Macaca mulatta: one gene and its partners. The protein of the gene in region 4 binds, or shares a complex with, the protein of the main gene of each other region. Links are inferred from orthologs where the notes say so. Each region holds a gene or a part of one and is shown on either strand. Other genes may lie near its edges. The genes, in order: GTF2H3, TAF11, TBP, TAF7, TAF9, GTF2B and TAF5.

Region 1 (3,138 bases), on a different chromosome or scaffold from region 4:
AATAATAATTTGCGGTGTCATATCCTCCTCTGATTTTGTAGACCTGAGGCATTGCTGGTGAGAATCCCATTCCTCTGGAAACCCTAGGTAAGTGTGAGTTTGGCAGCAAGCCCTCTGTGTCTTGCAGGCTTGTGACATCACGGGAGGACTGTACCTGAAGGTGCCTCAGATGCCCTCCCTTCTGCAGTATTTGCTGGTAAGGAGACAGCAGTGGTGACCCTGATGCCTGTAGGGAAGGATGACCTCTGTGTCCTGGGAAAGGAATGGAAGCAGGATGGCTGGTGCTAGTACTCGGGAGAAAGCAATAAATGCAGGCGTTGGGGTTCCAAGGCCTAGAAGGGTGGGGCTTCACGTTATTTTTTTCCCATTTTTTAAATAAAAGTTTCTTTTGTTTGTTTGTTTGTTTTACAGTGGGTGTTTCTTCCCGATCAAGATCAGAGATCTCAGTTAATCCTCCCACCCCCAGTTCATGTTGACTACAGGGCTGCTTGCTTCTGTCATCGAAATCTCATTGAAATTGGTTATGTCTGTTCTGTGTGTTTGTCAAGTAAGTTCATGTACCTAGTTTTTCTTTTTTTTCTATGTTTGGGGGCAGGAAAACAGTTTCTCAACTGCATTGTTTTTTCAGCCACCCCATTGTTTCTTTTTTTTTTTTTAATTTACAGTATTCTGCAATTTCAGCCCCATTTGCACTACGTGCGAGTAAGTATCTTTGAGATTGTGTGGGTGGCTGATACTTCACAGCTCTAGAATATTGAAAAATGTTTTCCTCTCTGTAATTTCAGGACAGCCTTTAAGATTTCTCTGCCTCCAGTACTGAAAGCCAAGAAAAAGAAACTGAAAGTGTCTGCCTGAGGATAAAATACTTTCTCCATCTTTTAGAGCTGTTAATAGAAATTACATAGCAGATTCTTTGTTGGGAAGACTAAAAAAAATAAAGATAGATATAGGATAATTTTTAATGTAGTGACCTTACAGAAAATATTTCCCAAACATTCTTTTTATCCTGTGCTTCCGGAGGACTGATTTGTTTGAGGGAGCCATTCTATGCAATATATCCTAAAATATTCTGTGACTGGTTGCTGTCCAGAAAGGGGCAAGAAAGCACATGTTTGTGGCTTTCTTTTTTTTAACGGGATGACTGTTAGTCAAAGTCAGCTTGTCATGATTGATCATAGGCTTTCTAACCTACTACCTGAATCCAGGTCCTCGTTGTGAAATGCATGGCATGGGAAATTTGAACGTAGCTTTGTAAAAGGACTATTTGTAGAGTAATGGCATTAATCAACACAGAACGTCTTATTTGAATCAACAGTTACCTGTGATCGTCATGTAAATAAAATTCTTGTTGTTTAAATTGAGATAGCCTCAGATATTTGCAGATATTTACTTTTTGTCTGATATCAGTACATATTTGGACAAAGTCGTCTAAACAATAGTTTGTCACCAAATAACTACAAAATCTCATTTTAAATGAGTAAGGAGAACATGTGAAGTAGCAAATTTTCTTCAAAATAGTTGTGGGAAGAGCTTATATGTGAAAGCTTATGACTGGTTTTGAGGGAGAACTTACTGGGGAAAATGGACTCTGCTAAGTATGGTTTTCAGATAGAATTCTTTCCTTTTTTAATGGGGGAAAAATCCACATTAATATTGAAACTGCACCTGTAATCCCAGCACTTTGGGAGGCTGAGGCCAGAGGATTGCTTGAGCCCAGGAGTTCGAGAGCAGCCTGGGCAACCAAGTGAGAAGACCCCATCTCTACGAAAAGTTTAAGTATATTTATAGAAACTGTTCTCTAGAAACTTTGGACTGAATCCCGAAAATGTTTATAAGTTCAAAAGCAAAACTATTTGTAATTTCAACAACAAAAAGTGTATTTTTCTATGTAATCTTGAAATTATTAAAAGTCCTTTTAGTTTCTAGCACATATTTGTACAAAGACTTTAAGGAATGGTGGCTGAGTTATTTTGTTTTTTTTTAAATGTTTACTGACAAGGCCGGGCATGGTAGCTCACCCCTGTAATCCTAGCACTTTGGGAGGCCAAGGCGGGCAGATCACAAGGTCAGGTGTTCGAGACCAGCCTGGCCAGTATGGTGAACCTCTGTCTCTACTAAAAATACAAAAATTAGCCAGGCAAGGTAGCAGCCACCTGTAGTTCCAGCTACTCGGGAGGCTGAGGCAGGAGAATTGCTTGAACCCGCGAGGCAGAGGTTGCAGTGAGCCAAGATAGTGCCTCTGCACTCCAGCCTGGGTGACAGAGCGAGACTTTGTATCAAAAAAGAAAGGCTGGGCACCGTGGCTCACGCCTGTAATCCCAGCTAGGAGGCCGAGGTGGGCGGATCAGGAGGTCAGGAGATTGAGACCATCCTGGCTAACACGGTGAAACCCCGTCTCTACTAAAAATACAAAAAAAAATCAGCTGGGCGTGGTGGCGGGCGCCTGTAGTCCCAGCTACTTGGAGGCTGAGGCAGGAGAATGGCGTGAACCCGGGAGGTGGAGCTTGCAGAGATCTGAGATTGTGCCACTGCACTCCAGCCTGGGCGACAGAAGGAGACTCCGTCTCAACCAAAAAAAAAAGAAAAAAACCAGCCTGACTAACATGATGAAACCCCTTCTCTACTAAAAATACAAAAATTAGCCGGGCGTGGTGACACGTGCCTGTACAAATCCCAGCTACTCAGGAGGCTGAGGCAGGAGAATCGCTTGAACCTTGGAGGCAGAGGTTGCAGTGAGCCGAGATCGAGCTACTGCACTCCAGCCTGGGCGACAGAGGGAGACTCCATCTCAAAAGAAACAAACAAAAAAGTGTACTTACAGCCAGGCGCCTTGGCTCACGCCTGTAATCCCAGCACTTTGAGAGGCCAAGGCGGGCGGATCACCTGAAGTCAGGAGTTTGAGACCATCCTGCCCAACATGGTGAAACCCTGTCTCTACTAAAAATACAAAAATTAGCTGGGTGTGGTGGCAGGTGCGTGCAATCCCAGCTACTCGGGAGGCTGAGGCAGGAGAATCCCTTGAACCCAGGAGGCAGAGGTTGCAGTGAACCAAGATCAAGATCACGCCATTGCACTCTATCCTGGGCGACAAGAACGAAACTCTGTCTCAAAAAAAAAAAAAAAAATGTGTACTGACAA
Region 2 (4,073 bases), on a different chromosome or scaffold from region 4:
TTTGTTTGTTTGTTTTTTCCCCAGACTCACTCTGTTGCCCAGGCTGGATCATAGCTCACTGCAGCCTCAAGCGATCCTCCTGTGTCAGCCTGCCAGGTAGCTAGGTCTGTAGGTGTGACCCACTCCACTAGGCCCTTTATCTGGTCTCTTGAGTCAGGTGCTTATTTGCAGTATCTTCTGGTTGTTAATAAAAATATGTAAGGCTATACATTTTTCTTTAAATAAAGCTTTGGCCAAATCCCATATCATTTGATAAAGTGTTCTGTTAATTTCTTTAGTCTAAAGGCTATTTAAAAAGTAGTTTAAAATTTCCAGGGGGTTCTTTTTTGGTGGGGGAGAAGCTTTTTGTAGTTAATTTCAAGTTTAATGCATTGCATTAACAAGATGTGGCCTGTTATGATATCTTTTAAGAATTCATATTTTTCTTCATGGTCTAGTACATGATTGATTTTTAAAAGTGTTTCAGAAACAACATAATTTTATCCTCTGTTCGGTGCAAATTTATATATGTAGTGAGCTCTCTAGTGTACCAAGCTAATTATTCAAATCCTTGCTGTCCTTGACACCTGTTTTAAAGTTTCCTTCTTGGCCAGGCATGGTGGCTCCCACCTGTAATCTTAGCACTTTGGGAGGCTGAGGCGGAAGGATTACTTCAGCCCAGTGAGTTGGAGACCAGACTGGGCAATATAATGAGACCTTGTCTCTACCAAAACAATATTTAAAAAACCTTTAGCTGGCCAGGTGCGGTGGCTCATGCCTATAATCCCAGAACTTTGGGAGGCTGAGGCAGATGGATCATGAGGTCAGGAGTTCAAGACCAGCCTGGGCAACTTGGTGAAACCTTGGCTCTACTAAAAATACAAAAATTAGCTGGGCACAGTGGCACGTGCCTGTAATCCCAGTTACTGGGGAGGCTGAGGCAGGAGAATCACTTGAGCCTGGGAGGCGGAGGTTGCAGTAGGCCGAGATTGCGCCATTGCACTCCAGCCTGGGCAACAGAACGAGACTCCGTCTCAAAAACGAAACAAAACAAAACAAAACAATACAAAAACTTCAGCTGAGCGTGGTGCAGTATGCTTGCAATCCCAGTTACTGCGGACGCTGAGATAAGAGGGTTGCTTGAGCCCAGGAGGCAGAGACTGTGCCACTGCACTCCAGGCTGGGTGACAGAGTGAGACCTTGTCTCAACAAACCAACAAAAACTGCCTTAAAGGAGCTTGCAGTGAGCCGAGATCGCGCCACTGCACATTCCAGCCTGGGTGACAGAGCGAGTACTCAGTCTCAAAAACAAAAACAAAAACAAAAAAAGAAACCTGCCTTAAAATACTTTTGTCAAATGTTCTCTTTTTCTTTTTTTCGAGACGGAGTTTCACTCTGGCACCCAAGCTGGTGTGCAGTGGTGCGATCTCGGCTCACTGCAACCTCTGCCTCCCAGGTTCAAGCGATTCTTGTGCCTCAGCCTCCTAAGTAGCCGGGATTACAGGCGCCTGCCACCATGCCCAGCTAATTTTTGTATTTTTAGTAGAGACAGGGTTTCCCCATATTGGGGATCTCCTGACCTCAGGCGATCCACCCACCTCCGCCTCCCAAAGATTACAGGCGTGAGCCACTGCACCCGGCCAAATTTTCTCTTTTTCTAAAAGTTCTTACTTTATACATTTTTATGCAACTTTATACACTGAAAGGCTATTTCCATCTAATCTACTGTTCACCCCACGATCTCTTAAATCCCTTCTAGCTCTAAGACCCCAAGATTCTACTTCCAGAAATGTAATCCAGAGAACGATGAGTTTCTGGTCCTGACCAATGTTCAGCTAGGCAACACTGCTGAACTCTCTGTAGCATAAAAACACCAGACCCAACTGATGGGTCCCTGATCACCGGGTGCTGTGGCTCACGCCTGTAATCCCAGCACTTTGGGAGGCCGAGGCGGACGGATCACGAGGTCAGGGGTTCGAGACCAGCCTGGCCAACATGGTAAAACCCCGTCTCTAATAAAAATACAAAAAATAGCCGGGCATGGTGGTGTGAGCCTGTAATCCCAGCTACTTGGGAGGCTGAAGCAAGAGAATCGCGTGAACCCGGGAGGCGGAGGTTGCAGTGAGCCAGAGATCGCGCCATTGTACTACAGCCCGGGCGACACTTTTATAAAAGTCTATCTCCCTTTGACAGGTTTGATCGACCCTCCTTCCTATAAAGAAACAAAGTTGTCTTAACATCTAAGACGAACCATATTGCGGTGAAAGGGGTGCTACGAATCCTGGGTTTTAGCTCTTGCACTGCGTCTCAGTGTGACACTGGATCCCAGTTTCCTCACCACTAAAGCCAATAGGCTATTAAAACTCCCTTAGAAGTAGCTTTAATCCCTTGACAAGACTAAAAATATTAACGCAGTGCTTGAGCCTCTGGAACGGAACCAGCACTGGAGTTCTGTTTGGTCGTCCGCTCTCTTCCCCCTCAAGATTAACGATCTGGAGGGAGTTCTGGTGAGTTCGAGTTCTCGTAACTTGGGAGGGACTAACCAGAAGCCCGGCAAGCACCCAGTAACACGATCTCTGGGTATTCCTTCAGCCTCATCGATACATCTCTTCCTACCTCGCCTTCCTCCGCTGCAGCTTCTTTCAAGTCCGCATCTGCGTCTCCGTCAGTTTCCTCTGGGATTCCATCCGTGTCGGTAGCCCCCGGGTCCCCGGACGCAGCGGCCGTCTCATCCGACTCCCCTGTCTCTCCACCTTTGTCGGAGGGCGACTCGCGGGCATCGTCCATCACGGATAGGATTGGAGGGGAGAGGAGATCGCGGCGATGTCTGAGGCAGAAGCTCGGAACCCCGAGCTGCACAGGACAGTATCTTACTTCCTGTCGTCGCGCAGCGATGACATCACCCCTACCGCTCTCCTGAGGGGTCATTTTGAGGCGCGCGTAGAGGACTAGAGGACTCATTTTAACTTTGGTTTGGCGACAGTGGGAAGCGGGAAAATTGGACGTAAAGAGCTCAGACTATGGATCCTCCTAGCTAGGAAACCAGCACTTGTGAAGGAGCGCAGTTTTGTTTACTAAATAACTTTTTCCTTTTCGCCTGTCTAAAAATTCAATACCAGTTAATCCCTTCGTTAACCCCTCAGAGTAAAGTTGGGGGATCGGGAGAAAACTCAGTTCCGTTGTATGGCGGTGTCGTGGAATGAGGCTACCCGGGATTGGTAAACTTTCAGGCAAGACTCAACCTTGTGTATTTCAACTGGCCCGAAACCGCGGGTCTGTGTGTACGTGGAATTGCTAGCATTTCCGCTCCATTCAGCAAGCACCTTAACAACAAAAAGTCATCTAGCTTGAGCAGAATTTATCCAATTCATTTATTCATCCACAACTATTGACTGCGTACTTCGATTTAGAAACAGTGCTAGTACCAGGGAACAAAACACACATAGTTTCTATCCAATTAAATGATTTTTTTTCAGTTCGCAAGTATTCAAGATTGAGGTTTGTTTCTACAAGTCTGACACTTTTCTATCATTTTGGTTAATCTTACCAAAACTAAGAGGAAAGCCTAAAGAGAGGAAGGTGTCTCCTTCGAACGTTTCACTTTAACGAACTAGTTCATGTACTGGGAGGATGAAGTGGTGAGGATATTTCTATTTTAAAATTTTCTTCTCTTCCCTCATAGAGATACGAGGGGGAGGGCGTTTTATTCACCTGGGTATGACTAGGTCCCAGCACCTATTACATATTTAATTTATGCGTGCTTAAAGAATGTCCTTGGAAATGTAGGTGCGCGTTACCATATTTATCTCTTTGTTTCTGCGCTGCCTGGACGAATTGCCGTATTTCCTGTCCCAGGAGCTCCCAAAACGTTTAGGGAAGGAGCGCACTTCGGGAGGCGCGTACAGGTGGGCCTGTTTGTCCCTTTCCACCTATATAATGGGGACCCACAAGGCGCTGTCCCCATAACCCGTGAGGCCTGTCTCGGCACAGCAAAATCCACCTGCGCTGGTCCGCGGAGCCCCGCCCAGCTAGGTGAGCTAGGGGGCGGGGCGCGGGGGCGCGGTGACGCGTGACGCCGGATCCCGGAAGTGACG
Region 3 (3,949 bases), on a different chromosome or scaffold from region 4:
TCATTTTCAAAAACAGATCATTAAATGCCCTTCCTTGCCTTTTGATACCATCTCTTGCCGTTCAGATTTCCGCCCTCCCTATTCTCTCCCTCCTGCTGTATTACCTGAGGGGAGGCCAAGCCCTGAGCGTAAGGTGGCAGGCTGTTGTTCTGATCCATGATGTTCACTTTCTTCTTGGCAAACCAGAAACCCTTGGGCTGGAACTCGTCTCACCATTCAGTTTTTTCCTAGAGCATCTCAGGCACACTCTTCTCAGCAACTTCCTCAATTCCTTGGGTTATCTTCAGACACCAAGAAACAGTGATGCTGCTTTGGAAAAAAGTCTGAAGTTTAATTTAAGGATCCAGGTAACCTATACAGTCCTATAAGCCAGTTCCATGGCTATACAAAACACAAACATGAAAACCAATGAAGCTATTCTGGAGTACATTTGTTTTTACCTTATAATCCCAAAGTCTTATTCCTTCCAGGTTTCCGGTGATTGCATGTAAAATCGCCAACAAAACAAAAATCATTTTGTTACACGTTTAAATACTCAGATAATGCTCAAAATTAAGCTGTCATAACCAGCATTAAAAACTTTTGAGGAAAAACACCTACAGAAAACTAATTCCAAAAGAAACTGTAATATCAGAGTAGGATATTTATTAAGCACTGTATACACAGCACTGTTAGGCAAAGTTCAGATCTTTAAATATCCCAATTTTACATCCTCTACAATGTCTTGGGCAAAAAATTAAGTAACTATTAAATTCAATCCAATATACTTCAGAGTGATCATTTATCAAGCTCCTACTGTAATGAAACTATAAAAAAAAAGCTGCACAAAGATAAAGCTCTGAATTTTTATAAACGTAATAACCTTACCTCTTTAGAACACAATAGTGCAAACTGTGCGTTTTATCTGACTATTCTTAAATCGTCATCACTTTACTCACTATACATCTGAAATGAGTTTATAATAACATATTCTCACATGGAACTTAGAGGTCTCAAAGTTACAAATTATATGTCCAAAGACCCTTCAGGCATATGCACTTCAAGCATGTGCTGGTACAAAGTAGACACTCACATATTTGCTGAATATATGAAAGACTCTGACGATCACTTTGAAAGGGCAAAGGCCCCCAAAAACTATCTATGCTATATACTCATCACTGAAAAACAGACCAAAAAAGAAAGCAAGCTGTGCTTCTGGAAATAAATGTATCAAAGACATTTTTTAAATTATGCTTTTTTTTTTTTTTTGACAGTTATCCTATAATAACAAAAGTGCTGCAGATGAGGATATAAAGATAGGAAGATGTAGTCCCTGGCATCAAAGTGTTCAATATGAAGGGTATGCAAATAATTACTGTAAAACATAGTATTATAGTAGCAGGTATGGCCTAAGCTAAGTCTTGAAAGTCTACATGTCTTTGTGATCTCTGCATCTAGCACTATGCCTGGAATGCAGTATGTGATCATGAATGAGCCCATATACACCCCTGGAAGAGAAGACAATAAAGACTAACAGCCAATTACTATGAAGAGAGGGCAGTGTTTTCACAAAGCAGGGACCATCTAACTTGGGTCTCACAAGGTGAGTAGGAATTTACAAAACAGGGCTTCAGACAAAAGAGAAATCAAGCAGAAAGAGATAACAGATTGAAAAAAGATGCAGAATGCAGGCGACAAGCTTAGTATGACTGTATAGAAGGTCACTGCAGATGAAATAGCACATATTGGTGGGCTCATACTATCAGGAGTTTTAAATGTTACTGCATAGGCAATAATAACAGTTATGGAATTTTGGAAGTGCAGTATGAATAGATCTAATTTGGCAAGACTAGACGAATTTGAGAGGAGTAAAACTAGAGGCTGGAAGTTCCGCTTCAGGGATCTAAGGGTGAGGCAAGAGATAATGACGGCAGGATTTAAACCCATTGTAAGTAGGACTAGAGATTTATTTATCCAGGACCTGCGGTGGCTTCAGGCCACTTTTTGCAAGTAAGTCTACAGAAGAAACCGTACGGTGATTACTGCACTAATTTATCTCAGAAAAGAGTTGTTTGCTGGGTATCTTCAGCTCTTGGAAATTGAAACATCAAATCCGGTATTTTTTGGAGGCAATCAAATTAATTCTGCATAGCCTTCTAGTGTCTGTATAACTAAATGAAGCACAGTCTTTTCACAGAAAAGCCTACCTAGAGATTTGGAAAACCATGATGGCCTGACCGAGAGATGGGAGGCCCCGTAAATAAATGGTGTGTATTATATCTTAAGCGCTACCGTGCCCGCTGTCTCAGGATTCTGACAAAATACTTAAGTCTCAATGTTGGTAGCAAAACAGGCGGGCACAGACCAGGGTGAATCTGCCTTCTAACATGGAGAAGAAGCGGTGGCAGGACAGGGCAGGGTAAACTTCAGGTCTTCGATGCAAGGGACTGTCCTGTCCCGCCCGCCGCCGCCCCGTCAGTAGTACCCTGCGCCCCACAATCGTACGATGGGAAGCCGCTGGCGACACACAGCAGAGTAGGGCACCAGGCGGGAGCGGCGGCCGAGCGGCCGTTACAGGCCGGAACGGCGGCAGCACGAGAGGGAGGAACGTCCCCCGCGGGGCCTGCACGCGCGCCAATTCCTCTTCTCTTCCCCACCATTGTCCCCAGGCCTCAATGCAGTGGTCGCCTCCGCCCGAACCCTCAGAAAAGAGTACAAGCTGTTACCTGGGTCACTGCAAAGATGACCATGGGCCAGAGGAAACGAAGTTTCACAGCCGGCGGCCCAGGCGCCCGCCACAGCGAACCTGCCTGACCTCACTGAACTCCTGGCGCGCGTTGATAATGTCACTTCCGCCAGCTCTGCCCTCGGCTTCAGCGAGTTGCTCCCACTAGGGCCGAGGCCCTGGGAAGTGTGGGCATAGGTCACTTCCTGTGTTTCCATAGGCGCGGAGCTTAAGGTAAGGAGGGGCGAAGCTCTTGAGGAGTTCCGGGGCGGGGCCGCCGTGCCACAGCCGTCTCTAATTGGCCCTTGCTGGACATAGGACAGATCGATTTTTAAATGGTTATATGTGTGTGTGTTTTGTTGTTGTGGTGGTGGTTTAAAGCAACTAGCGGTGTTACCTTTGGCAAGTTACCTGACCTCTCCCCCGCAGTTTCTTCTGTAAAATTGAATAGTGATAATAGTGCTTACCGTTGGGCTGTCGGGAGATTGACAGAGACTGACAGTACTTGGCACTCAGTAAGCGCGTGCTCCTTACCTGTGCAAGAACGCTAGCTGATCTTCAAGGGTGTAGAATGACAAGGAACACTAAGCAAAACAAACGGCTTGTGTTTACACACGCATTTATATTCAGTTCTGCCACTCCCGTTTCATGCACTGTGGTCACAAGGCTCTATCCGCAGTTGTTTCTTAGTGGGACTAGAACTTAGTGGGAACTGATTTTCCCTTCTGTAGTTCATTGTGGCGTAGTCACATGTTATACTGCTCGTTTTCTTTGTACTCTTTATTATCAGTGAGGTTGTGAGCTCTTTAAGGATAGGAAATGTTATATACATTTTTTATTAGCCAGGACAATTAACGCGCTCACCGTTATTCGAGTTGGCGTTGCGCCATAGTTCTGCCAATGTTTTTGTATGGTCAGACTTAAATTTTCGTCCATTGGGGTGAATTCCAATGTTTTCTTCGACGGGGGGCGGGAAACCTTTACTTTTCTGTCAGCTTTTTTGGAATGGGCGGGACCCAACTACCAAAGGGACAGGCCGCCCTGCAGCCCTCCAGGAGCAACGACTAGCGCAAGATAGAGAGGCCGGGAGCGAACTTCAGGAGAAGCCGGAAGTGGCGTAACGTCCGGTCAAGGCAGCCATCTCGCCGTGAGACAGCAGGTGTCGGAGCTGGAGCTGCAGGCGCAGCCGTGCGATGTTGTCCTCCGTAGCCATGTATTCGGCTCCTGGCAGAGACTTGGGGATGG
Region 4 (4,003 bases):
ATGAGAAATTTGGTACCGACTTACTTTATGAGCAATTTTGATGAAATGACATTGATAAATGACCTCAGTTCTCAGATTATTAATTATAAGAACTCAACTGAAGAAAAATAGAAATAAAATCTTAATCCAAACCAATGGAATGATTCATTGGACTGCACTTGATAACCACTGCTTTGTTTCCAACATTTTGTGCAGGTAGATTTAGTAAGCTTTTTAAAAAAGGCACAAAGGCCTTCATCTACAAAAATTAGGGTAGTTTAAGAAAGCTCTGTATCTAATGTTTCCCAGCTTTCAAGTAGATCAGATAGAACTGGAATCTTAATATGATGCAAACATGACAATTCCCAATTTCTTTACCCCTGCTGTGTTGCTTTTTTTCATAAACCAAACTGCCTCTACCTGCAGAACTGGATCAAATTTCTTAGTCACTAAACTCCACCACGAAACCACCTCAAAAGGGACCTGACTCCCACCAACCATGAAAGAACAAGATACACTACAAAGTGAAAAACAGATGCTTTTATTTATTGTATTGTAAACAACTTAATAAAATTTGCATCTCTACATATGGGAAACTGCTTTGAGTAACTGGGAAAACAGCTATTGCATGGGAAAACATATGCAAACTAGCATCACTGTCTCTAGACTAGGTTCTTCTTATTGATCTCATGTCATCATAAGGCAGCAACAGCAGCTTCTAGAAAATGGAGAAACAGCAAAGTCCTGCAGTGGAGCTATAATTAAGGTTGAACCATACATTCCACTAATCCTGCAACTTTCCTACTATCATTTTTCTGCCTATACAATCCTGCTTCTTATAGGATGAACACCTAGCAAAACAATGTAAATTTGCTGAAAAACAAAACTATAAACAAATGAAAGAACTTAACAGAACACACAGCATTAGAGGGACTAGGAAGTGCAAGGTGTTAATATCCAGTACAAGTAATAAAGCCAAGAATTTTCTAATGCTGATCAGTCTGAACACTGAAATTAAGAATCAGTTCTTTTTACTTCTCTAGGAGTGATTCTAGCTCTTCTTGCAAAGAGCTGAGTTGCTCCTTTTCTCGGTCTTCCTTTTGTTTGAGCTCATCCAGTACAGCCTGAAATCTGTTCTTGAGAGCCAGATTTTCCACTTTCATGATGAGATCCTCTTGTCGTTTTGCCCTGTCCTGGGTCTCTTGGAGCTTGCCTTTCATGTTGTCAATCTGCTTCTGAATTCCCATAACCAGCTGATTGGTTCCCTCATTTTCCTGGTGCTGTTCATCTGATTCATTTAGCTTGTCCTGTAGTTGTCTCTCCAGATCTTCCTCAGTGTCAATGATGTTTATATCTTCTTCATCTTGATGCTGGGTCTCATCTTCATCCTCACTGCTGCTGCTGAGGTCATTGAATATCTCCCGAAGCTCATCATGTTCTAATGAGTCATGGCCCTGCCTGTGACCAGACATTCCTGGAGAAGAGATATCCAGGCCTTGATTTTCTGCCTCCTTTGTTTCATCTTCAGCAATTATTTCCCACCGAGTACTAACAGCTTCAGCATCTGTACTCAGCAATCGTTTCACTTCTTTTTCCACATCTGGAGATTCAATATATTTCTTCTTTGCTGTCTTCCGGAACCTTCTCTTCCTGACATTCTTCAGAGGCAGAGTAATTCCGTGGTTCCAGATAAACTTTTTCTCTTTGTCCTTATCCTTTTTCTTGCTTGCTTTAGGATCAGTGCTAGCAACTGGCTCCTCCACAGGTGGATAGAGATCACCATCAACTGTGGATACAAGCATCTGACAGATATCAGCTGTCTTGTAAAAGGTTTTCTTATCAATGGTTTTCAAGCTTTCCATAACACAGGGCAGGTCTACCAATTTTGAGGCCAATGGAACACGGTCCACTCTGACGATTCCATGACGCCCATCAGGATGTAACTCAATTGTCAGTCTGTCCTTGAGGTTGACATGACCAGACTGTACTGCTCTTCTCACAGTAGAGGCATATTCTGGAGGCAGACGTAAGATAAACTGGCTCTCCAGTTCGTGAGGAGCATCATCTTTGCTTTTACTCATTTTTATTTCTTTGTGACTCACTTCTCCAATAAATGATGGTTACCGTAAAAAGTTCCAGCTACTGCAATAGTTTAAAACACCAGTTCGCTATGAATTGAAATATTTTAATTACAAGAAGTTCTCTGTAGATCAGCAGCTTAGCGTCTATTTTGCCTTCGTTTTTATTTAAGCTCCAAGTCTTTTCTCTAAATATGCTGTGACCAAATACCAGTCGTTAACACAAAGGCTTATTCACAGACTTAAGTTCATTAAATCAGATGCAATGCCAAGTCCCAACCTCTAGGTGCCGCTGCCCGACAACGCGGAGACAGCTACCTAGCTAAGAAGCAGGAAAGCAAATGGCGGCTCCCGCGGAACGGTTTTCGGCCCAGAAAGGCCAGCAGAGATACTCTCAATTTACAAACTCTCCCGGAACAGACACTCAAAACATCAGGGCTCAGTGAGCTCTCTTCGCCTCGGGTACTTACAATCCAGTGACGATTATAAGTTCAGTTTCACCGGGCCGGAGCGAAGGGAAGAGGAGGCCGCAAGGAGCAAAGCGGGAGGCAGCCAAGCGTCTCCTTGTCGTTTCCTTAATTCTTCCTGCCGCTTGGCAGAGTGATCCACTATCGATTACTGATGAAAGCCCAGGATGGGCAACGCGAAATCTTGCCGAGAGGCGCAGCTCGGAGAACCAGACCCGGCACCTCGCCGGCCCTCCGTTCGACCGCTTGCCCAGAGAAAACGGAAGTGCTACGTCACGACGCGGGGCGGGAGGTGGATGTGAGTGACAGCCCCTCCGGCCGGAAGGGCGGAGCCCCGGCGCGCGCAGGCGCAATAGCGCAATTACGCTGCCCAGCGTGAAACTCGTCTTTTCGCGAGAACTTGCTTTTCTGGGATGAAAATGATAGTGTTTTCGAAGAGCTGTTGGTTTCAAACTATTTAGCGCTTGGAAGTTACAAGAAAGACACGGATTCGTCCCCCGCTAAGCCAGCACTTTTAAGGGATCGCTGTGGGGCCGGATGGCTTCTAGACTTCCGGGTGATTCCGGGAGATGGGGGACGCCTGGCAGTAAGCGTCTTTGCTTCTGGAAACATCTCGGATGCTTCCTAGGGTCTAGCCAATCTGGTGCCAATACAAGAATGTGTAGCTACTATACAATGGATTTTAAAGAACCCAAATCAGTGGAGTGAGGAGGACATGGAGCTCACTATATAATTCTAAACCTCTCTTTGTTTGTTTGTTTGTTTGTTTTGGAAATGGAGTCTAGGCTGTCACCCAGGCTTGAGTGTAGTGGCACAATATTGGCTCACTGCAATCTGCACCTCCAGGGTTCAAGCGATTCTCCTGCCTCAGCCTCTTGAGTAGCTGGGATTACAGGCACCTTCCACTACCCCAGCTAAGTTTGGTATTTTTAGTAGAGAAGGGGTTTCACCATGTTGGCCAGGCTGGTCTCCAACTCCTGACCTGAGGTGATTTGCCTGTCTTGGCCTCCCAAAGTACTGGGATTATAGGTGTGAGCCACCGTGCCTGGCCCAAAGTCTATATTTTGTTTAATATAATTCCCTGTAGGGGAATTGTGCCTCTGGGTTTCCTTCTGTTCTGTAATACTCCTGAGGAAACAAGGGTGATTCCTTTTTATATGCTTGATTTAGATGTAAATGTAAGCAGAGAAGGAAGTGTTCTTCTGCAAGCACAGGTTCATTTTGGACAGAATTGTCTGATAGACTGAGCATCTGGTTAAAGTAGACATAATTGAAGTATTGTTTCCTGCTTCTCATGTACAAGTAATTTTAAATACTTTGACTTTTTTTTTAACTCCACCTCTACTATTTTGCTGTTTTGTGCTTGTCTTTTCTTTGGAGGGTCAGGTATTCATCAACACATATTTTTAGTATTTTGACATAACTGGGTAACAGTTGGTACTTATTTCTATTTATTTCCATTTATTTTTAAAATATCTG
Region 5 (3,857 bases), about 73 Mb from region 4:
GAGGCCAAGGCGGGCGGATCACGAGGTCAGGAGATCGAGGCCATCCTGGCTAACACGGTGAAACCCCGTCTCTACTAAAAAATACAAAAAACTAGCCGGGCGAGGTGGCGGCGCCTGTAGTCCCAGCTACTCGGGAGGCTGAGGCAGGAGAATGGCGTAAACCCGGGAGGCGGAGCTTGCAGTGAGCTGAGATCCGGCCACCGCACTCCAGCCTGGGCGACAGAGCCAGACTCCGTCTCAAAAAAAAAATAAAAAATAAATAAAAAGAAGAAAAAGGTAAATAAATTATTGTAATTGATTCGAGGTGGCTAATTTTTTTTTTTTTTTTTTGGAGACGGAGTCTCTGTCACCACGCTGGAGTGCTGTGGCGCGTCCTTGGCTCACTGCATCCTCCAACCACCCGGTTCAAGGGATTCTTCTGCCTCAGCCTCCTGAGTAGCCGGGATTACTGGCATGTGCCACCACGCCTGGCTAATTTTTGTATTTTCATAGAGATGGAGTTTCACTATGTCGGCCAGGATGGTCTCGATCTCCTGACCTCATGATCTTCCCGCCTCGGCCTCCCAAAGTGCAGTGATTACAGGCATGAGCCACTGCGCCCAGCACGAGGTGGCTAATTTTATTCTGAGTAGTTCCATGGTAGCAGCAGGCAGTTTGAATTGGCGTCAGAATTTGCTGAGCCCCACCCCTGGAGAATCAATACACTGAGTAATATTCTGACATTCAATTAGCTTTGGAAAATTTTTATTAGATCGTAGTACATGCTGATTTACATATGGCCAGGCATGGTGGCTCACGCCTGTAATCCCAGCACTTTAGGAGGCCTAGGCGGGCAGATGACATGAGATTAGGAGTTTGAGACCAGCCTGGCCAATATGGTGAAACCCTGTCTCTACTAAAAATACAAAAATTAGCTGGGCATGGTGGTAGGCACCTGTAATTCCAGCTACTCAGGAGACTGAGGCAGGAGACTCGCTTGATCCTGGGAGGTGGAGATTGCAGTGAGCCAAGATCGCGCCACTGCACTCCAGCCTGGGTGACAAGAGCGAAATTCCGTCTCAAAAAAAAAATTTTTTTTACATGTTATTGCTAATTAGAAATTTTTCATTTCAGTCGTCAAGATCTTTAAGGGCAGAGGCCAGGTGAGACTCTGCCTCAGAAATAAAAAAAGGAAGGGCACAAGGTGGGCTGCAGTGTGATAAGTAGTATTTCACAAACAGTATTTTTCTGTGGCTTGTCTTACAGGTACACCAGGGGTTGGAAAAACTACACTAGGCAAAGAACTTGCGTCAAAATCGGGACTGAAATACATTAATGTTGGTGATTTAGCTCGAGAAGGTAAGGGACACTTTGGTGTTAGATTTGTTTTGTTTTGTTTTGTTTTAAGTCTGATAGTGGAGTGTTAGTGCTGGGTATTGTCAGAAGGTACAAAAAACAGATTGCCATTAAAGAATATATACTCTTGCCTGTAATCCCAGCACTTTGGGAGGCTGAGACGGGCGGATCACGAGGTCAGGAGATCGAGACCATCCTGGCTAACACAATGAAACCCCGTCTCTACTAAAAATACAAAAAAATTAGCCGGGCGAGGTGGCGGGCGCCTGTAGTCCCAGCTACTCGGGAGGCTGAGGCAGGAGAATGGCGTAAACCCGGGAGGCGGAGCTTGCAGTGAGCCGAGATGGCGCCACTGCACTCCAGCCTGGGTGACAGAGCGAGACTCCGTCTCAAAAAAAAAAAAAAAAAAATATATATATATATATATAGTCTTTTAGGGAATCCACAGAAATATTAAGTGTCTAATGCTATGTCCTGGTTATTTTGAGCATTTTCCCTTCCTCCTTGAAAATGGCTAGCAATTCTTGTGAATAGTTGGGAAGGCTCCTATGAAGAGACTGGATTTCGGAGAGGTAGAATGTGAATAAGGAGAGTGTTTTCAAGTTGAGCAAACAAAGGTTTGGTACTGCTGAACATATATATGAGCACAGTGAGTGTATTGGTCTCACTGGAAAGAGATTGTTTTGAGCTCAGGTGTAGGACATGACTATGCTATGGTATCTTAGTGTGAGGTTTGCATGCAACTGCATATATTCTAAGATGATAGATGTTTTTATTTATTTTACCCTGTTTTCCCCTAATCTTTTATCACTCCCTTATTTGTGTCTTCATCTTTTTATAGTTGACAATGATTTGTACATGGTAGGAACTCAATAAATTAAAGGGATTTTAAGTATGCCTCATTAAAATTAAGAAAACATATGGTTTAAATTTAAAAAATTTTTTTACAGTTTAACATAGATTAAAAAATTTTTTAAGTTCCTGACAGTTGCTACTAAAGTAACTATTTCAGATTGATCTAATGTACATATTTTTTTCAAATGATCTAAAGTCTGATCATCGGATATCATGGAGTCTGGCAAGATGGCTTCTCCCAAGAGCATGCCGAAAGATGCACAGATGATGGCACAAATCCTGAAGGATATGGGGATTACAGAATATGAGCCAAGAGTTATAAATCAGATGTTGGAGTTTGCCTTCCGATATGTGACCACAATTCTAGATGATGCAAAAATTTATTCAAGCCATGCTAAGAAAGCTACCGTTGATGCAGATGATGTGCGATTGGCAATCCAGTGCCGCGCTGACCAGTCTTTTACCTCTCCTCCCCCAAGAGATTTTTTATTAGATATCGCAAGGCAAAGAAATCAAACCCCTTTGCCACTGATCAAGCCATATTCAGGTCCTAGGTTGCCACCTGATAGATACTGCTTAACAGCTCCAAACTATAGGCTGAAATCTTTACAGAAAAAGGCATCAACTTCTGCGGGAAGAATAACAGTCCCGCGGTTAAGTGTTGGTTCAGTTACTAGCAGACCAAGTACTCCCACACTAGGCACACCAACCCCACAGACCATGTCTGTTTCAACTAAAGTAGGGACTCCCATGTCCCTCACAGGTCAAAGGTTTACAGTACAGATGCCTACTTCGCAGTCTCCAGCTGTAAAAGCTTCAATTCCTGCAACCTCAGCAGTTCAGAATGTTCTGATTAATCCATCATTAATTGGGTCCAAAAACATTCTTATTACCACTAATATGGTGTCATCACAAAATGCTGCCAATGAATCATCAAATGCATTGAAAAGAAAACGTGAAGATGATGATGATGACGATGATGATGATGATGACTATGATAATTTGTAATCTAGCTTTGCTGCATGTAACATGTATACTTGGTCTTGAATTCATTGTACTGATATTAAACATGCATGCTGGATGTTTTCAAGTTGTGTTTTAGAAAACTTTAATAATAATTAATGAGTAAATACAGTTACCATACTTTTCAATTGAAATGAAGGTTTTTCATCAGCCTTAAAAGTGTAAGAAAAATAAAGTTGTCATTCATTACTTTGATTGTTGGTGCTTTGGCAGTTATGTTTTTAAAAGCAATTTTCTCCCTGTTGTCACCAAGGGGAGTAACAGTTGACAGTTGCAGCAACTTGCAGTACTGTAGTCTATTGTTGACCACTAGAATGTCACCTCAAGTGTCTTCAGATATATAGATCACAGTATGATCTCTGGTGTATGTCACTCTTGTGATCTGTTCTCTCAGTTGCTGAAGTATAACCATGACTCCTCTTTGGAGAGACTAGTTGGTCAGGATTTTTATTCATAGTGAATTCTTAACCTGCTTTGATTATCTTCCTCAATTGTCCAACTTCCTAGGTCCCATTTTTCTGTCCCTTTGGTTATATTAAGGACCCTTAGTGTCTCCCAGTATGTCTCCACTTTTTTAAAAAAAATTTATCAGTGTCTCTTTTTGCAGGTTAATTTTGAGCATCTTTGTTTTTCATATTCCTGAT
Region 6 (3,963 bases), on a different chromosome or scaffold from region 4:
AAGCAACCAATCAGACATTTGCATAGGAGTGTAACTTTGTAACTTCTCTTTAGCCTCTGATTGGTTGCTTTTCACAACCAATCAGACTGATTGTGGAGTCACTACTTCATTTACATAGGGTGTACACCAAGTAACCGATGGGAAACCTCTAGAGGATATTTAAACCCCAGAAAATTCTGTAAAGGTAGTCTTGAGCTCCTCTGCCCTGGTCGCTGCCGCTCTGTGGCGTGTACTTTCGTTTTCAATCTGCCTTTGTTGCTTCATTCGTTCCTTGCTTTGTGCGTTTTGTCCAGTTCTTTGTTCAAAACGTCAAGAACCTGAACACCCTCCACCAGTGTTATTGTTGTTAGTAGTAGTGGTATTACTATTTTGACGTTAATTTGGCTAATCTAGGGATATTTTGCATTATCTAGATGTTCTGCCAAGTTTTCTATACGTAGCTATCAGCCAAATTTGCAAAGGCCATGAAAAAAAAAAATGATCAGAGTATGACCCATATCGTCGTGCCTCTCATGCACACATTGGTCTCACGTAATTTTGTTTCATCTCCTGCCAATTCTAAAAGGGTATGCAAGGCAAGATACTATAACCTATATAAACCTACATACCCTGTATCAAAACGACGTGCCTAAGAAGATAACATGCTAGTTGATGACAGAGCCTGAAGAGACACCTGTTCTGGATGACCTAAGTGAATTTCTCTTTTTATTTTGAATTCCTTAGAAAGAATCACCCTTGGGGCACGTAAGAACCGGCTCAAATGGGAGTGCCTGAAGCCGGGTGGGGTACTGGGGCCGGGGGGTGGCGGTGAGAAGGTGGGAGAGGAAGGGGTGGTTAGACTTTTAGGGATGCAGGCTTTGGCACCACTACGAAGCCAGGGTTTTCTTCGTGTTTTAACTCTGTCAGATTGAGAGTAGCTCTGTTGTAGCCCCTTTGCAGGGTTCCCATGAGACTCTTCCTAGGCAGTTACGTTGACTCGCTTAGCAACATAGCAAATTACAGAAACGGAATAAAAACGTAAGAAATCTCAAAGCGCGTGACGTATGGGATCTCACTGTTCTTGGCCCTTCTCCCGACCCGTAGCCCCGCTCTGTTACGACTGCGTGGGTGAGTCGTCTATAAAAACTCATCTCTGCGCGTCTCTTCGCCACACTCGTTTCCTGTTTTCGGCGGATCTGTTGTGGCTTGTTGCGGGCACCGCAGTGGCCCTGAAGATGGCGTCTACCAGCCGGTTAGTATGTCCGGCCCAGCCCGGCGAGCTGAGGGGCGGGCGCGAGCGCCGCGGGCTTTCAGGCGGCCTCCGGGCAGCCTAGTCGGACTAAGCACCGAGGGGTATGGGAGAGAAGCGGCGGGACTGGCCGACCGGCCGGGACAAAGGCACTTCCAGACGGCAGGACTGTCAGGGTGTCGGAGGGGTTACCCAGCTGTTGACGTTATTGCTTCGGAGTCTTATGTCGTCTTCTCATGTAGACATCACCCTTTGTGGGTCCTGGTGGGCTTCTGTGTCCCTAGCCCTTGTCCTCGTCTTTTCTGAATATTTCAACCTCCCTTTATTTTCTTCTCCTTCTACCTCCGCCCCTCCCCCAGCTTGTTGTTTTCGTCTACGGCCCAAACAACCCGAGGTCCGTAATTTCTCCTTTTCAAAGGAACGGGAAATAGTTGGTTCCGGGTCCCTATCGATCTGACAGCTAGGAAGTTGGGAACGTCAGCATTGGTAAGCCAGATGGAACCAGGTTACCATCACAGCGGGCCTCGAAAGTGGAAGTTAGAGCCATCGGAAGAGTTGATTAGTTCCATGCTAAAGGATTTGTTTACAAATATCGTTGCCTGTGTCCTTCTGAAGAAAATCTTGCATAAGAAATTTAGTTATGTGTGCTGGGAGGTTGCTCTTCAGTATATATTTAAAAATGCAATGTACTCATATCTACAGGAAATGCATGCAGTACCCTCAGAGACAGCCTTTAATCTTGTGACCTGAAAAATGCTTGCAGACCCTAATTATATCTCTCATTACCACTATGAGGTAGATATTAGTATTTTTGCGTAAGTGTAAACTGAGTCATGCCAATGTTGACTTTACCAAGGATAGTGTTAGAGTGTAGAGTCTAAGATAACCTGTTTCTTGTTATCCACACCTGGCCTTTGGTTAACTAATGCTGTGTTAAAAGTATCAAATTAATTCTACAGGTTCTGGAACTCTGGCACCATTTTTCTGACCCTATCAGCTGTGAAATTGGTTAATTTCACAGTGAAAGCCATTTTTACAAAATAGCCTTTTCTGGTAACTGCCAAGACTTACATTTTATGGTTAGAAGAAAAGAATTTGGGGTGGGATGCGCTTTAGCTAATGTACTGTTTGAACAGAACTTATAAAGCCAGTGACACTCTTGTTTACTGATTCTGATTCTTGGATTGGATGCTCATTCTGTCTGGGTGGTGGTCTGTCAGGTGAGGCCTCCTTGTAGGTAAATAGAAAACTTTGGCTTCCCAAATCACTCAAATATGACTTAAATTCTGTCATGGCTTTTTAAGTCTGAATTTTTTTCTAGATATGTGCAATTTATGTATCATGGCAGTTATTGCTCAAGTTTTTCTATCAGTGACAAAGTTAAATGTAGAATTTTTTATTTTTTGGAACAGGCCTGGGCTGAAGTGCAAGTGGCACAATCATGGCTCACTGCAGCCATGACCTCCCCAGTTCAGGTGATCCTCCCACCTCAGCCTCCTGAGTAGCTGGGACCATAGGTGCACACTAATTTTTTTAGTGTGCCTGGCTAATTTTTTTATTTTTTAATTTTATTACTTTTTATTTTTGTAGAGACAAGGCCTAGTTACATTGCCCAGGCTGGGCCCGAACTCCTGGGCCCAAACAGTCCTCCGACTTTGGCCTGCCAAAGTGCTGTGGTAACAGGTATGAGCCACTATGCCCAGCCTAAATATATTATTTCTATCTTTTGCATGTTTTTCCCTCAGGAAGATGTATTGTTGCTAGGCCGTGAAACTGGCTGGTGACCTCACAGAAGAATACAAATATTTTGAGTTCAAATGTAAGCTTCGCCACTTACTAGTTCCATGACTTCAGGCAAATCATTCTGTGAGCATAATCTTTTAAAATGGGAAATAGGCCTTTCTTGCAGGATTGCTGTGGAGATTGACAATAATGAATGTGTAACACCAGCAATACAGTGCATACCCAATAAATGATAGCTCTAAAATGGGGTTTGGGATTATCTGGTACTTTAGATGTTTTAATGTCAGTGGTGGTGGTTTCCCTATTCCTCCCCATTGTTTCTCTCTGTTACCACCTGCGCCACCCCATTTGTATGGTTCCTCTTTTGTATTGTGGGTAATTTGGTTAAAAGTTTACTAATTTAGCATACTTTTATTTTGATAGGTAACACATACAAATGGTCCAAAAGCAAAATTACAATAGACTAAAACCATGAAAAGTAGGCTCTCAAGTCTCCCCAGATCAGCCATAGTTACTAGTCTTTTGGTGTTTTCCTCGTGCTTATGATTTAACAAGTGTATACAAATAGTTCTAACCTCTCTTCTCCCCAAAAGTGACCTGATTTAAACTCCATTCACTACCTTGCTTTTACCTTTTTTTAATGACATTAGCACGCAGATTTTAAAAGTGGGCAGCTCAGTCACAAAGTGAGCACATACATGGCTACTACCCAGGTAAGGAAATCAGATACCACTAGCACTAGCTAAGACACTAGCAAAGTCTCTGTCCTCAGTCATTCCCCCTCCCTTGAGAAAACCGCATCCTGATTTCTAACACCATCAATTTGTTTTGCCTGCTTTGAAGTTGGCATAAATGGCATATGTATTCTGCTGTCTAGCTTCTGTCAGTATTTTGAGGTTCATCCATGTTACAGTGTATGGCTAGTTTATACTTTTCAGCTTTGTATAGATTTTCTACCTTACTCCTCACTCTTCATATCTTTCAGATGTTTC
Region 7 (3,500 bases), on a different chromosome or scaffold from region 4:
TATGCACGTGCACACACACTATGTGTGTATATATATATGTAAAAATGTACATACTTCTCAAAGAATGACTTTGCTTCATTCTCATGTTGATTGTAGACTAGCTCCAAGTACATGTGCACAAACAAAGGATAAAAGAGTTGGGATAACTCTGCCCGATGGCAGTCCAGGGAACATTCAATGAAGTGTTTCAGTCCACTATAGTATTCTTCATACATTGTGGGATCTCCTTGTTGGCTGTAGGCCGACAACACAGCACTGACATCTGGCTGGTCTTCCACAGCAACACTTCCAACTGTTTAAAAAACAAAAAACAACTTTTAAGAAAATGACCTATTATGACCATGTGACTATGGCTGTTTTGTTAAGGCCCAGAGGTGAGTTGTTGCTCAGATTGTTGTCTCTTTCTTCCCAACGTCTCTTCCTCAACACAATCACATAATCTTTTTTTTTTTTTTTTTTCTGAGAGGGAGTCTCGCTCTGTCACCAGGATGGAGTGCAGTATGGAGATCTCAGCTCACTGCAACCTCCGCCTCGCAGGTGAGTCTCTTGCCTCAGCCTCCCAAGTAGCTGGAACTACAGGCATGCGCCATGCCCAGCTAATTTTTGCATTTTTAGTAGAGACAGGGTTTCACCATGTTTGCCAGGATGGTCTCGATCTCTTGACCTTGTGATCCTCCCACCTCGGCCTCCCAAAGTGCTGGAATTACAGGCATGAGGCACCGCACCTGGCCCACACAGTCTTTTTTTTTTTCTTTCTTTTTGAGATGGAGTTTCAACTCTTGTCGTCCAGGCTGTAATGCAATGGCACGATCTTGGCTCACTGCAACCTCCGCATCTCGGGTTCAAGCAATTCTCCTGCCTCAGCCTCCTGAGTAATCCTACCCAATACAACTCCCTACTGCTCTCAGGGTAAACAAAGATCTTCAACATGGCCCAAGAACCAGCCTATTCTTTTTTTCAATGCCTTCACTTTAACAATAGAACCTGCCTACTGTTCCAGTCCCTAACTAATTCCCAGGGCATGGTGGTGCATGCCTGGGATTACGGGCATGCACCACTATGCCCCCTAATTTTTGTATTTTTAGTAGAGGGGGGGTTTCACCATGTTGGCCAGGCTGGTCTTGAACTCCTGACCAGAGGTGATCCACTCGCCTCCCAAAGTGCTGGGATTACAAGTATGAGCCGCCGGGCACAGTGGCTCATGCCTGTAATCCCAGCATTTTGGGAGGCCGAGGCAGGCAGATCACGAGGTCAGGAGATCGAGGCCATCCCGGCTAACACGGTGAAACCCCATCTCTACTAAAAATACAAAAAATTAGCCGGGCATGGTAGTGGGTGCCTGTAGTCCCAGCTACTCGGGAGGCTGAGGCAGGCGAGTGGCGTGAACCCGGGAGGCGGAGGTTGCAGTGAGCCAAGATCACGCCACTGCACGCCAGCCTGGGCAACAGAGCGAGACTCCGAGACTCCATCTCAAAAAAAAAAAAAACCAAGTATGAGCCACCGCGCCCAGCCATAATCTTTTAATGGAATTTTTTTCACTTGTTTCAGTCACCCAAACCGAAACCTGTCAGCACATCCATATCTTAAGATAACAATAACAGGCCATCACGGTGGCCCAGCATTTTGTGAGACTGAGGCAGGCGGATCACAAGCTCAGAAGTTCAAGACCAGCCTGGCCAACATGGTGAAACCCTATCTCTACTAAAAATACAAAAATTAGCTGGGTGTGATGGCGCGTGCCTGTAATCCCAGCTACTCGGGAGGCTAAGGCACAAGAATCACTTGAACCCAGGAGGCAGAGGTTGCAGTGAGCCAAGATCGCGCCACTGCACTCCAGCCTGGTGACAGAGCAAGACTCCGTCTCAAAAACAAAAAAAAACAATAAGAAGAAGAGTCAATATTCCTCCTGGAACTACCTTATGTTAAAGACAAATTGTATAAAAGATGGTATGTGCAAATCAAACAACTACATTAACTTTCTCTCAACGCTCTGTTCAAATGGCACCCATTACCACCAAGCCATGCACTGCAGTAACATTCCCAGTTCTCTGAGCCACCCAAGCACTGTGTAACATTCCTGTAACATATCCCATCCTGTGTTCCCTTCACATTATATACATCTCTTACCCCTTATAAAATGTAACCACTTAAGGGTGGGAAGGACCATGCCCTATTTATATCTTCAAAAGATAGTTATATGCGGCCGGGAGCGGTGGCTCAAGCCTGTAATCCCAGCACTTTGGGAGGCCGAGACGGGCGGATCACGAGGTCAGGAGATCGAGACCATCCTGGCTGACACAGTGAAACCCCGTCTCTACTAAAAAATACAAAAAAACTAGCCGGGCGAGGTGGCGGGCGCCTGTAGTCCCAGCTACTTGGGAGGCTGAGGCAGGAGAATGGCGTGAACCCGGGAGGCGGAGCTTGCAGTGAGCCAAGATCACGCCACTGCACTCCAGCCTGGGCGGCAGAGCGAGACTCTGTCTCAAAAAAAAAAAAAAAAAAAAAAGATAGTTATATGCTTAAAACAATTTCCATAACCAGCATTTCAAAACAGAAAACATAACTATTTATTTGTAACACAGCACCACCTAACAATACATCTGTCAATTAAATCAGAATTTGGTTGTTGGAAATATTTGTAAGTTGCCATTATAGTACACTTCGCTCTTTACTGCACAAATGTGATAATTTCTTCGGTTACTCTGATGGCCTCTTTTCCTCCTTACTGATTTCTCAGTTATGATCTATAATTAGGTCAAGTTTCTGAAGAGATAAGAGATTACAGCAAAATAACCAACAATATAATTCATCTTATAGTTCATTCACAAAATTCAACATTAAAAAAAGATTCCTCTCAAACACTTTTTTTTTTTTTTTTTTGTAAAGACGGAATTTTGCTCTGTTGCCCAGGCCGGAGCGCAATGGCGCTATCTTGGCTCACTGCAACTTCTGCCTCCTGGGTTAAAGTGGTTCGCCTGCCTCAGCCTCCCGAGCAGCTGGGACAACGGCACATGCCACCACGCCCAGCTAATTTTTTTGTATTTTTAGTAGAGACGGGGTTTCACCATGTTGGCCAGGCTGGTCTTGAACTCCTGACCTCAAGTGATCCACCTGCCTTGGCCTCCCAAAGTGCTGGGACTACAGGCGTGAGCCACCGTGCCCGGCCTTCAATCCACATCTGCACACATTTCTATTTATGGATTAAAATGAGATATGAATACAATGCTATGTATTCATACTTCATTTCTGGCAATGCTGCAAAGATTAGGCCTCATACAGATTAATTTGGCTAAAAGCTCTGCACTGGATAATTCAATAAACATTTATTGTCAGCTCAGGATCACCTCTGAGACCTTATATTGTATATGAGTTTTACTGCATGGATTTGTGGCAACAGTTGCTGTGAGAAAGCAGTGGCTCAGGTGTCAGGAACACATACAGAGGCATAAACTTATCCATACCAAACATTTTACATATACATATTACAAGTGCCTCACGTG

Evidence for each region.
Region 1: TAF7 (region 4) and GTF2H3 share a complex: the UniProt entries of both Homo sapiens proteins name them as parts of the TFIID-containing RNA polymerase II pre-initiation complex. The link is inferred for Macaca mulatta from reciprocal best matches to the Homo sapiens genes TAF7 and GTF2H3.
Region 2: TAF7 (region 4) and TAF11 share a complex: the UniProt entries of both Homo sapiens proteins name them as parts of the TFIID basal transcription factor complex. The link is inferred for Macaca mulatta from reciprocal best matches to the Homo sapiens genes TAF7 and TAF11.
Region 3: TAF7 (region 4) and TBP share a complex: the UniProt entries of both Homo sapiens proteins name them as parts of the TFIID-containing RNA polymerase II pre-initiation complex. The link is inferred for Macaca mulatta from reciprocal best matches to the Homo sapiens genes TAF7 and TBP.
Region 5: TAF7 (region 4) and TAF9 share a complex: the UniProt entries of both Homo sapiens proteins name them as parts of the TFIID basal transcription factor complex. The link is inferred for Macaca mulatta from reciprocal best matches to the Homo sapiens genes TAF7 and TAF9.
Region 6: TAF7 (region 4) and GTF2B share a complex: the UniProt entries of both Homo sapiens proteins name them as parts of the TFIID-containing RNA polymerase II pre-initiation complex. The link is inferred for Macaca mulatta from reciprocal best matches to the Homo sapiens genes TAF7 and GTF2B.
Region 7: TAF7 (region 4) and TAF5 share a complex: the UniProt entries of both Homo sapiens proteins name them as parts of the TFIID basal transcription factor complex. The link is inferred for Macaca mulatta from reciprocal best matches to the Homo sapiens genes TAF7 and TAF5.

What each region holds. Positions count from the first base shown.
Region 1 is NC_133416.1:131,085,397-131,088,534, forward strand, and holds the end of GTF2H3 (general transcription factor IIH subunit 3), read left to right. Parts: intron 1-127; coding exon 128-196; intron 197-411; coding exon 412-547; intron 548-665; coding exon 666-702; intron 703-785; coding exon 786-855; 3' UTR 856-2,638; downstream 2,639-3,138. UniProt on the Homo sapiens protein: Component of the general transcription and DNA repair factor IIH (TFIIH) core complex, which is involved in general and transcription-coupled nucleotide excision repair (NER) of damaged DNA and, when complexed to CAK, in RNA transcription by RNA polymerase II.
Region 2 is NC_133409.1:147,388,174-147,392,246, reverse strand, and holds the start of TAF11 (transcription initiation factor TFIID subunit 11), read right to left. Parts: upstream 2,801-4,073; 5' UTR 2,767-2,800; coding exon 2,596-2,766; intron 1-2,595. UniProt on the Homo sapiens protein: The TFIID basal transcription factor complex plays a major role in the initiation of RNA polymerase II (Pol II)-dependent transcription.
Region 3 is NC_133409.1:1,494,713-1,498,661, forward strand, and holds the start of TBP (TATA-box-binding protein), read right to left. Parts: upstream 2,801-3,949; 5' UTR 2,706-2,800; intron 464-2,705; 5' UTR 441-463; intron 310-440; exon of another isoform or gene 307-309; 5' UTR 159-306; coding exon 105-158; intron 1-104. Other genes in the region: PSMB1 (proteasome subunit beta type-1), read left to right, coding at 3,898-3,949. UniProt on the Homo sapiens protein: The TFIID basal transcription factor complex plays a major role in the initiation of RNA polymerase II (Pol II)-dependent transcription.
Region 4 is NC_133411.1:150,152,934-150,156,936, forward strand, and holds TAF7 (transcription initiation factor TFIID subunit 7), read right to left. Parts: upstream 2,793-4,003; 5' UTR 2,061-2,792; coding exon 1,011-2,060; 3' UTR 501-1,010; downstream 1-500. UniProt on the Homo sapiens protein: The TFIID basal transcription factor complex plays a major role in the initiation of RNA polymerase II (Pol II)-dependent transcription.
Region 5 is NC_133411.1:77,439,702-77,443,558, reverse strand, and holds TAF9 (transcription initiation factor TFIID subunit 9), read left to right. Parts: upstream 1-1,244; 5' UTR 1,245-1,245; coding exon of another isoform or gene 1,246-1,338; intron 1,339-2,386; 5' UTR 2,387-2,403; coding exon 2,404-3,198; 3' UTR 3,199-3,357; downstream 3,358-3,857. Other genes in the region: AK6 (adenylate kinase isoenzyme 6), read left to right, coding at 1,246-1,338. UniProt on the Homo sapiens protein: The TFIID basal transcription factor complex plays a major role in the initiation of RNA polymerase II (Pol II)-dependent transcription.
Region 6 is NC_133406.1:151,712,191-151,716,153, forward strand, and holds the start of GTF2B (transcription initiation factor IIB), read left to right. Parts: upstream 1-1,163; 5' UTR 1,164-1,214; coding exon 1,215-1,231; intron 1,232-3,963. UniProt on the Homo sapiens protein: General transcription factor that plays a role in transcription initiation by RNA polymerase II (Pol II). Involved in the pre-initiation complex (PIC) formation and Pol II recruitment at promoter DNA.
Region 7 is NC_133414.1:115,518,789-115,522,288, reverse strand, and holds part of TAF5 (transcription initiation factor TFIID subunit 5), read right to left. Parts: intron 293-3,500; coding exon 55-292; intron 1-54. UniProt on the Homo sapiens protein: The TFIID basal transcription factor complex plays a major role in the initiation of RNA polymerase II (Pol II)-dependent transcription.